Linked DNA regions of Macaca fascicularis. The main gene of each other region encodes a partner of the protein of the gene in region 2 in a complex. Links are inferred from orthologs where the notes say so. Each region holds a gene or a part of one and is shown on either strand. Other genes may lie near its edges.

What was found.
Region 1: CTNND1 (region 2) and CTNNA1 share a complex: the UniProt entries of both Homo sapiens proteins name them as parts of the cadherin:catenin adhesion complex. The link is inferred for Macaca fascicularis from reciprocal best matches to the Homo sapiens genes CTNND1 and CTNNA1.
Region 3: CTNND1 (region 2) and CDH26 share a complex: the UniProt entries of both Homo sapiens proteins name them as parts of the cadherin:catenin adhesion complex. The link is inferred for Macaca fascicularis from reciprocal best matches to the Homo sapiens genes CTNND1 and CDH26.

What each region holds. Positions count from the first base shown.
Region 1 is NC_088380.1:145,422,010-145,425,660, reverse strand, and holds part of CTNNA1 (catenin alpha-1), read right to left. Parts: intron 906-3,651; coding exon 705-905; intron 142-704; coding exon 1-141. UniProt on the Homo sapiens protein: Associates with the cytoplasmic domain of a variety of cadherins. The association of catenins to cadherins produces a complex which is linked to the actin filament network, and which seems to be of primary importance for cadherins cell-adhesion properties.
Region 2 is NC_088388.1:15,790,225-15,793,875, reverse strand, and holds part of CTNND1 (catenin delta-1), read left to right. Parts: intron 1-159; coding exon 160-352; intron 353-1,290; coding exon 1,291-1,405; intron 1,406-2,591; coding exon 2,592-2,679; intron 2,680-3,651. UniProt on the Homo sapiens protein: Key regulator of cell-cell adhesion that associates with and regulates the cell adhesion properties of both C-, E- and N-cadherins, being critical for their surface stability.
Region 3 is NC_088384.1:116,049,099-116,052,749, forward strand, and holds part of CDH26 (cadherin-like protein 26), read left to right. Parts: intron 1-613; coding exon 614-835; intron 836-1,407; coding exon 1,408-1,538; intron 1,539-3,651. UniProt on the Homo sapiens protein: Cadherins are calcium-dependent cell adhesion proteins. They preferentially interact with themselves in a homophilic manner in connecting cells; cadherins may thus contribute to the sorting of heterogeneous cell types.

The DNA.
Region 1 (3,651 bases), on a different chromosome or scaffold from region 2:
GCACTGCTTTCCTGATGTCCCGGATACCATCATATACCAGGCGGGAGGCATCGATAAACTCATTCTCATCCATTGGCTGGGCAGGGTCCGAGCTGAGGGCTTCCACGGCCGCCTCTACTTGCTCAGTAAAACGTGGCATGACTGTGGAGAAAGGGGCACAGCAGATGTCCTGGTATGCAGGCAGCATCATTCCCCTGACCCTCCCTGAATCACTCAGCTAGACAGAAAGAGGTGAGGCTTATGATGAAGAGCCTCTGCTTCTATCTATGTGAGGAGTATTTATGGTTGAAATAAATGCAGTATTTTACAACAACTCAACAACTCAAATCATCTTTTTCTCTGCAACAGAGGGATTGGATGGTTGAGGGATTGGATGGTTGAGAACTTGGAAGTGAGACTAACTTGAAGCCTTGCTTAAGAATAGGACCTCAGGTTAATAGTTTAACCTGAGGTTAAACTCAGAAATTCATCTTAAATAGTGTGTTTAGAATTAGTCCCATGATTACTCATGAGATACACATGAAGAAAATATGCTTGTGAGGCCTGAATTTGGCTATGACCAACTTCTCAGGAGCCCAATGTGCCATGAGACCAAATCTGAGTTCCCGACTCCTCCTTCCTCACCACAGGGCTGGGCTAATCGGGTGGCCTGCCCTACTCAGGTTGCAGTGTGTGCGAGCACTGAAAAGCTAGAGTTCCCGTACCTGTGTTGGAGAGAAGCTTAGTGGCTTCCAGAACCTTCTCTGTGTAGACTCCAGGCTCATAGTTGTCCATCTCTGAGGTGACTACGTGAATGACCCGGGCTGCCCGGCCTCGAATTGCACCAGCTGTGCGGTCCAGGCCATCCACATCCTTCTCCTGGAGAGCAATGACACATTTGTTCACATCTTCCAAAATGTGATTCTCTGGAGAACAAGCAAAAAGCTGAATGAGGAAGGAGGCCTTCTATGAGAAGGTGGCAACTGTAAGCTGGCATCTATCATTTATTGTTTGCTTGGTGCCAGCCACAGTGCTGAAAGCTTTACATATATTTCATTGGAGAGACCAGTGACTAGTGACAGAGACAGAAACTAAACCTGTTATCACCCTCAAGAATAACAATCTTCATTCCAGGCTTTAAAAATAAAACAAAATAAAACAAAAAACAGGAGACATGCCCATCTTTGAGACACAGTTGTTCTGTAAGCCTGGCAGAAAATCACAGAAGCATCAATAACTTCTCTTCCTCTAGCTTCACTGACCCTGTGTCCCAAATAAAGGAAAGGCTAAATTAGAACAAAAGTCCACTGTCCGCTCTCCCTCTCCCTCCAGGAGATGCTGATGATATTCAGACAATCTACCAAGAAGCCAGTACAGCCCAGGGATAGGAGAAGGTGCTGGAAAGCAGGTTGAAGCCTCCTCTAGAGGAGCCTGAGGCATGAGATGAACTATTTAATAACCCTCTTCATGGTACACAGATGGGCTTATTGTGATATTTGAAGGGTCCCTAGAGGTGAAAACCCCTGACTCCTATGAAGCTGATGGGTGGCTCCTAACAGTCACACAGCTGAATTTGGGCAAAACACCACAACTATTTTTCCTCAAAGGAAAAAGCCTGACACTATACATTTTTAGGAACCCCACCACAAAGAGTTTGCTCAAACTCATCTATAATAACAACGTGGAAGCAAACCAAGAGAAGAGTGGATAAGTGAATTATGGGAACTATGCAGCCATTAAAGTGCATATCTGGAGGCTGAGGCAGGAGGATGGCTTGAACCCAGGAGGCAGAGGTTGCAGTAAGCCGAGATTACGCCGCTGCACTCCAGCCTGGGCAACAGAGTGAGACTCCGTCTCAAAAACAAAAACCAAAACAAACAAAAAATACCTTTCCAGAGAAGGCCAGGAAATAGTAAGAATTCTTATTAGAGAAGGGAAAACTAGATTACTGCAATATAGTTAAGACCATATTTTGATCTCTATTAATTACAGATTATGAGACTTGCCAGGGTTTATACCAATGAACTAATGAAAGAGTAAACATATTAAACTTCTAACATAAACACATTTTAAGAGGGACATTTAAACCAATTACAAGAATAAACGGATTTGGAGCCCATCACAAGCATTTCTGAAGTATATAAACTCTAATAATTCAAACTAAAAAATGTACTGAGCAGGCCGACCATACAAGGTCTTGGGTTAAAAATTGTTGCTTTTACTGGATCTAACACGATACCATTAAGATGAAACTTGCATTGCTAAGGAAAAGAAAGGAATAAAATGGAAAGTGTGTTGATAACAAAACTAAGAACCAATATTTTCTCATATCATTGATTTTAAGACTCATCCCTGTTTCAGAATCAATGAAGTATGGCATTCCTTCCCGTTCATTAAACAAAGTGACCCAAACTTCTACCAAGGATTTTTTAACCTTTGTCTAGATACATCTATTTTTTTTTTTTTTTTTAAATCCATCTAGACTTTCTTGAATTCATCCTGGCCTTCTTCTAGATGAACCTAAACCAGGAAAGGGTACGCCATTTTTTAGAGTAACATTCCCCACTTCAGGAAGCTGAACAAAGTAATATTCTCTACCCTCATGAAACACTTGTCTCTAGGAAAGCCCCAGCCTCGCTGAGGCTGCCGCCCAGGACAGAGCACCCAGCCTCCTCTCCACAACTGAACCTGATGCGGGGAGGTGCGAGTCCACTGTTTAACGGAGGGGGACAGGCTGTGCCCACACTAACTGAAACCATAAATCATTTTAGCTAAGGAAACAGCATAGGTCCACTATGAGTAGATACACAAATCTGTACCCATGAACAGCTGTCCAACACATGATTTATAGGTGTGCTTCTAATAGAAAAAAATCATACACACACACACACCAGTCCATATAAAATATGGACAACTATATGTAAATGAATATAAAAGGAATTATATTATGGACACTATTGTATCTTTTTCACTTGAAAACCTTTCTAGGTATGGCCCTACAGATCTACCTCATCCATTTTAATGGCTGCATAGTACCCTACTGAAGAGATGGAGGGGCTATAATTCACTTATTCAATCTTCCCTTAGACATTCTGGTTGAAGAAAACATCCCTCTACAGGTATTTTGGCAAACATTTGCGACACTCCCCTAGAGAAAATGTCTAGCAATGAGATCGCTGAGTTAAAAGGTATATATGTTTAAAGTAGAAGTATGGTACCTAATTGCCCTCCAGGAACGATGCCAATTGGCATTCTCCATAAGAGATGTCAGAACTTCAGTCTACAATGTGTAGCGATAGAGCCTCTTCTTTGTACCCTCTGCCCTGGGTATCTTTATAGCAAGCAGCGTATGCAGGGCTGCTGCACACAAAGAAAATGAAAACGATGTTTCATACTTTATGTAGAGGATTTACCCTGTGACATGAACTATTCTGAGGGCTTGCCATGTAAACTCTATGTAGTAGGCTTAAAAAGGAAAAAAAAAAATCACCGGCCAGGTGATTTCTGATTACATGGTGGCTCATGCCTGTAATCCCAGCACTTTGGGAGGCTGAGACGGACAGATCACAAGGTCAGGAGATCGGGACCATTCTGGCCAACATGGTAAAACCCCATCTCTACTGAAAATACAGAAATTAGGTGGGTGTGGTGGCAGGTGCCTGTAATCCCAGC
Region 2 (3,651 bases):
AGGTCCTTAGCCCTTTTGAGATGATAATCCTATAGGATAATGAAGTTGATTCTTATGGACAGCACCTACACTTGATATGATTAATGCAATTAAGTATAATGTAAGGCTCTTCATGACCTGACTTGATCTTTTCTCCCTGTATACATTCTTTCTGACTAGGTAAACATGCTGTTCCTAACTTGGTAAAGAATCTGCCAGGAGGACAGCAGAATTCCTCTTGGAATTTCTCTGAGGACACTGTAGTCTCTATTTTGAACACTATCAATGAGGTTATCGCCGAGAACTTGGAGGCTGCCAAAAAGCTTCGAGAGACACAGGGTATTGAGAAGCTGGTGTTGATCAACAAATCAGGGTGAGCTTACCACCTAAAATTACAATCAGAAGAATTTGAGTGAGTGGGGAGTTGTTTCCTTCTTTTGGTTACTAAGAAAAAGGAAGCTGGGCGCGGTGGCTCACGCCTGTAATCCCAGCACTTTGGGAGGCCAAGGTGGGCAGATCACGAGGTCAGGAGATCGGGACCATCCTGGCTAACATGATGAAACCCTGTCTCTACTAAAAATAGAAAAAATTAGCCAGGTGTGGTGGCAGGCGCTTGTAGTCCCAGCTACTCGGGAGGCTGAGGCAGGAGAATGGTGTGAACCTGGGAGGCGGAGCTTGCAGTGAGCCAAGACCGCGCCACTGCACTCCAGCCTGGGCGACAAAGCGACACTTCATCTCAAAAAAAAAAAAAGGAAATTTCCCCTTATTTACATGTAAAGTGTGAAGAGCTATTGCTCTATTACCTGTCTTGATGTTGATCCATAAATTAATAGGCTCTTATGTCAGACTTTTTTTGTGTCACTATTTGGGGTAGAATACAGGATTTGGTAAAAATTTGATTTAACCCATTTTGGCATTTATATTCTTGTTTGAGACAGAGTCTCGCTCTGTCACCCAGGCTGGAGTGCAGTGGTGCAATCTCAGCTCACTGCAACCTCCACCTCCCGGGTTCAAGCGATTCTCCTGGCTCAGCCTCCTGAGTAGCTGGGACTACAGGTGTGTGCCACCATGCCCAGCTACTTTTTTATATTTTTGTGGAGATGGGGTTTCACCATGTTATCCAGGATGGTCTCCATCTCCTGACCTCAGGTGATCCACCTGCCTTGGCCTCCCAAAGTGCTGGGATTACAGGCATAAGCCACCATGCCCTGCCCCTGGCATTTATATTCTTATGTTATTAGACGATATAGGGTCTAAGCTTTTTTCCTGGTCTTATATCCAAATTCCATATGGTGTTACTTTCCTCCAAAGGAACCGCTCAGAAAAAGAAGTTCGAGCAGCAGCACTTGTATTACAAACAATCTGGGGATATAAGGAACTGCGGAAGCCACTGGAGAAAGAAGGATGGAAGAAATCAGACTTTCAGGTATAGTAACTTTTGAGACCAAGACTTTTACTTTTTTTTTTTTTTTCTTGGTCCCAGGATAATGCTTCTGTTGTCTTTGGTTTCTGCTGTTTCACCATCATGTTAAATCTATTTTTTTTTTTCTTTTTGGAGACAGAGTCTTACTCAGTCGCCCAGGCTGGAGTGAAGTGGTGCAGTCTTGGCTCACTGCAACCTCCACCTCCCGGGTTCAAGTGATTCTTGTGCATCAGCCTCCCCAGTAGCTGGGACTACAGGCGCACACCACCATACCCAGATGATTTTTTGTATTTTTAGTAGAGATGAGGTTTCAGCATGTTGGCCAGGCTAATCTTGAACTCTGAGCTTAGGCAATCCGCCTGCCTCGGCCTCCCGAAGTGCTAGGATTACAGGCGTGAGCCATTGCACCTGGCCTCATGTTGAATCTATTTTTGACCCATATTTCTTCATTAGGAATTATCTGGCCAGGCGTGTTGGCTCAAACCTGTAATTTGAACACTTTGGGAGGCTGAGGCAGGTGGATTGCTTGAGCCTAGGAGTGTGAGACCAGGCTGGGCAACATGGTGAAACCCATCTCTACCAAAAATAGAAATAAAATAAGTAGCCAGTTGTGTCATTTGCCAGTAGTCCCAGCAACTCAGGAGGCTGAGGTGAGAGGATCGCTTGAGCCCAGGAGGTGGAGGTTGCAGTGAGCTGAAATCACACTGCTGCACTCCAGCCTGGGCAGCATAGCTAAACCCTGTCTCAAAAAAAAAAAAAAAAAAAAAAGAAAAAACATTTGGTTTACTCCTCAAAAGGATGATGTGTCTACAATTCATTTGTTGCTGACACAGCTCAGGCATCCCTCTACGTCATAACATACTTTAGGTGCAGGTGATAATGAAGGATGATGGCCTTTTTGCCCAAATCTACCATCGCCCTTTGAGAGAATTTTTACTATTCTCTGAAACTGTATTTTCTTCTGATAGTATCAACATTTGGATCCTTTGTAATCTCCTGTTCTGGAACACAAATAGAAGCCATAATATCCTAGTTTGTTTCACTATCTAGGTTATTTATTCAACTCTTATGAGTTGCTTTTTTGTAATTCTATTTGGGAATAGGAACCTAGAGGTTTATGCCCATTAGAGCATAAGATATGGGTGAATTCAGTATTCTGTGATATTATTGCGTTTGTGTTTGCCTCTAGGTGAATCTAAACAATGCTTCCCGAAGCCAGAGCAGTCATTCATACGATGATAGTACTCTCCCTCTCATTGACCGGAACCAAAAATCAGGTGCAGTATCCAGAAGGCACACCCTCTCCTTTTAGCCACTCTTGCTGTTCTAGGTGGCTTACTAACAAATAGGATATATATTATTTCTGAATTGGGTAGTCTTTTGGGGGAGGGGAATAATTCTCCACTCCAGGATCCTAATGCAGAAATGGGTAGGTCTAAGCATTAGAAATTAAAACAAAACAGGTAATTAGCCTGAGTGTGATTCCCTTATCATTGCTTGTGAACTTAAAACACTGGAAAGTGAACTCTAGTCTGTTTTCTCTATTTTTTCTCCTTTTAAATTTCCATTTAATACCGAATATTATAATAGATAATTACTATTTTAAAATTACAAAATATAAACAATCAGAAAAATAACAAAAAATCACTTGTTTCTATTATCCAGAGAAAACCACTTGTATCTTTTTAAACATTTTTACCATGTGAGCAAACACATTTTTCCTCTGAGATGAATTATATATTTTGTTTTGTAATTTTTTTCTTTTTCACATGAAGTGTATATTGTGACCATTATTATCTTAATCACACTTGCTTTTTTCCTTGATTATTGGTTCTTAAAGTGTGGTCTGAGAGTCCCAAGACTGTTACCATTTGTACTTATGGCACAGAAAGCAGTGATGCTTCCGGTGACTTAGCAGTGACATAAAGCTGAATGAGTCATTGTAGTCTTCATTGCCACTCACATAGGTAAAAGCAGAGAGCCATTTTCACTTAATTGGAGAAGAAAAAAAATCAGGCCAGGTGTGGTAGCTCATGCCTGTAATCCTAGCACTTTGGGAGGCTGAGGAGGACGGATCACCTGAGGTCATGAGTTTACGATCAGCCTGGCCAACATGGTGAAACCCCATCTCTACTAAAAATACAAAAATTAGCTGGGTGTGGTGGCAGACCCCTGTAATCCCAGCTACTCAGGAGGCTGAGGCAGGAGAACCACTTGAACCCAGGAGGCGGAGGTTGCAGTGAGCTGAG
Region 3 (3,651 bases), on a different chromosome or scaffold from region 2:
CCGGTATCTCTTTACCTGGGTGTCTTGAGCTGAGCCAGACAGGGGCAATGTGATTTAGATTGGGGACTTCTAGTCACATAGTGTCAGTCGACTACCAGAGAGGTTGGAGACTGAGGCCACCCACCTGGGAGGCCCACCAGGTTGCCTGACCAAGCCCCAGGAGGACACTGGAGCCTGAGGCTCAGGTGAACGTCCCTGACTGCAGCATCCCATGTGTGCTGTCCCTCACTGATGCTGACCTGGCTTCTCAGGAGAGGATGATGAGAAGCTCTGACATTGGTGCTTTTCTGAACTCTGCCCTAGGTGCCTCTTTCCTTGTCTGATTTTCATCTGTATCTTTTCCTTGTAAAAAACGGCACCATCGCTGTAACAACTTTCAGTGTGTTCTGTGAGTCTTTCTAGAGAATTGTTGAACCTGAGGGTGGTCTTGGGAATCCATGAACTTGCAGTTGGTGTCAGAAGTGAGGGTGCCCTTGGGGACCCCTCCCTCTAACTCTGCAGTTGGCTTACGTTCATACAGAGCTTGGCCTGTGCAGGGCATTTAGTAAGCGTGCATTGAGCAGATGAGCAGATGAGTGAGTCAATGCATGCCATGTTCTTTTTCCCTTTGCAGGTCATTCAGTTGAACTTTTAACCTTGAGAAGCCTGCCACGTGGTAATTACTTGGTGCCACTCTTCATTGGAGACAAACAGGGACTTTCCCAGAAGCAAACTGTCCATGTAAGGATCTGCCCCTGTGCCAGTGGGTTCACGTGTGTGGAGCATGCAGATGCAGGAGTGGGGCTTCTTGTGGGGGCCCTGTCCCCTGTCTGTGCAGCATTCGTGGCTCTGGCAGGTCAGTGGTCTGTAGGGGTGTCCTGGGACTATGGCTCCTCTCCCCAGGCAATAGGCCAAGGGTATGGGGTTTGCTGGGGTAGGGGACAGCCGATGGCAGGATTGGTGGAATGGCTTTGAGAATGACTTCTGGGTGTACTCACACTCCTAGATGCAGATCAGAGGTTGCCATGTTGGCCAGGCAAGATCCCTGGCCAGCAAAAGCAGCCTGTACTCACAATGGACTCCATCGGTAAACATAGTCAAGGAGTGGTCCTTTGTAATAACCATGGAGACAGCAACGTACAGATGTCCAGGCTCCTGGACTTGGCAAGGCTAATGAGAAAGCAGCTTTTCCAAGAAACAATACAATATTACCGGCCAGATAGTATTATTGATTAATTCAACAAACAGTACGTAGCATCTAGTTATATCCCGGAACTGTGCTAAACTTTAGAGCTACACAGATGACCAAGATGCAGTTTGACCTTGCCAGTTCATGACTGAGTTATAAATGAACAGAACAAGATCCTCATGAAACCTCTGATATGGGTGAGCTTGTCTAATCTGTTTTTCCCCTTTGTCTTATCACAGTGGCTCTGCTTTTCCTGTTGCGACGCTATTTTGTGCTTGAACCTAAGAGGCATGGATGCTCTATATCCAATGATGAAGGCCACCAAACACTGGTCATGTATAATGAGGAGAGCAAAGCCACTTCAGCCCAGGTAGTGGAATATCATGCTTTGTGTCTTATGGCAAGGAATTCAATAATACACAGACATATAGCATGTGTTTTTTCACCCACTGTACCACCTCTTAATTCTTCATTCTTACCCATGTTTCAGTAGCAAGTGGGAAAAAATTCTTGGAAAAACTAACTCAGATAAATGAATTTATTGTTTTAGATGAATGGTTCTCAACCATGAGCAATTTTGCTCCACAGGGGATATTCGTCAATGCCTGGAGACAGTTTTGATGGTCACAGTTAGGAGTGCTACTGGTGTCTGGTGGGTTGAGGTCAGAGATGCTGCTAAATATCCTACAACACACAAGACAGTCTCTACCACAGAGAATTATCTGCCCCAGTCCCCTAAGTGCTAAGTTTGAGAAACTGTGCTTAGGGAAAAAGTGATTTTTATTAGGTAGACGTTCCCTAAATGGGATTGTGTTAGGCTCACTGGTTAAATGAGTCTGAGCTGGCTTCTTGGTCATGGCTTTCCGTAGATCATGGCAGAACCTGCTCTTCTACCATTGTCCGGCAGAGGCCAACCAGAAAGCTCACTGCCCTTGGAGGTATAAGGCCTGGGCTCTGTTTCTGCCTTCGCATCTCATTAGCTTCATCATTTAACCCTACATCCTCATCTGTGAACTGGGATGATAAAGTCAAATTCTCAGATAGGTTGTGGATCAAAGAGGATGTCTAACACATCCTCTCTGAAGGCACCTAACACATGAAGGCACCTAACACAAGGCAGAACCATATAAAGTAACTGGCCAATGGCCACTGGTTTTTCAAACCGGCTGCTTCTGAAATGGGCCCTACGTTATCTTAGTCACCCTTGCAGCAACTCTGGGCCGGGATTAGACAGACAAAGAGATGAAAGCATTGTGAGCTCTCCTGTTTGTCTTCATCTAGAATTAAGTGGTTGATTTAGAAAATGAACACAAATGTCAAAAGGAAACACACACAGAGGATTCGGTCACCCCATCTTACACCTCCACTGGTGGTTCTTTCCTGGAAGGGAGAGACTTGCTGAATGAAGTGAGACACTTTAGGGAAAAGATATTCCAATGAACTTTGATGTGATGCTCATGTAATTAGAGAGTTTCTCAAAAATATGTGATTGAAGAAGCTGGTGTTTGCCTGAGGCTCCCAGGGTTCTTTGCATTTTGTCTTCCCTGCGGTGTGAAGGAGGGAAGGGAGGTTAGGCTCCTCTGGCAGGTACGTGCCTGTGCACCCTCCTGTGAGCCCTTCCTGGGTAAGGAAACAGGAGCAAGGTCCAAACTCTCCAGATTGTGAAGTCCCCTGGAAGGAATCTCCCCATCCCAAATGTGAGAGCAGCAGCAAACTTGATTTGTTGTGTAATTTTAAGAAGAAAACCATCTGGGCAAACAGCAGTCTTTGTGTAACAGTAGAATTTCTTGCCTTGGACAGTTCCAGTGGCTCAGAGGCTCAACCATGAAGGGAAACAGAAATGGTTCCCAGGCCCAGGGGCTGTGCCTCAGTCTCCTCCTTGGCAGGAGAGCATGAAAGCTGCTGAGCTTGGAGGAGACTGGCAGGAATGTCGCACTTCCTGAGCATTGGTTCAGGTTGTAGCTGAGATGGAAGGGACAGTGGGGATGCCCTGGTTACCCTTCTTTCCCAGCAGCTTTGTGATTGTCTCTTGGAAAAGAGGAAGCAGCTGTAGAAGCAGTGTGGGTGGAAAGGAACCTTGGCCCTTGTGATGCTAAGACCAGGAGGGTTGGAGGGGGCTTAATGACATGGTGGCACTGGTCAAAGACCAGCTATGCCAGAGGGACAAGAGAACCTCATGCTGGGCAAGGGGCTCTGTTCTCTTCTTATACCAACAAATCTTCCTCTTGTTTCCCATTCACAACTAAAGGCGCATCTCCATTCCTGCTTCAGTATCTTAGGGCTCTGAGAAGTGGGATTCAACAGACCTGAGTGTAGATTCCAAATCTGTGATTGATCAGTTACGTAATCTAACTGATTCTGACTTTCATATACAAAGTGAACTTGATAGTCTTCTGTCTCCTAAGTTTGTTGGACACTTTAATCAAATAACACATGTCAAATTTTCAGTACTAACGGTCATGCAATAAAGGGTGGTTGCCAAT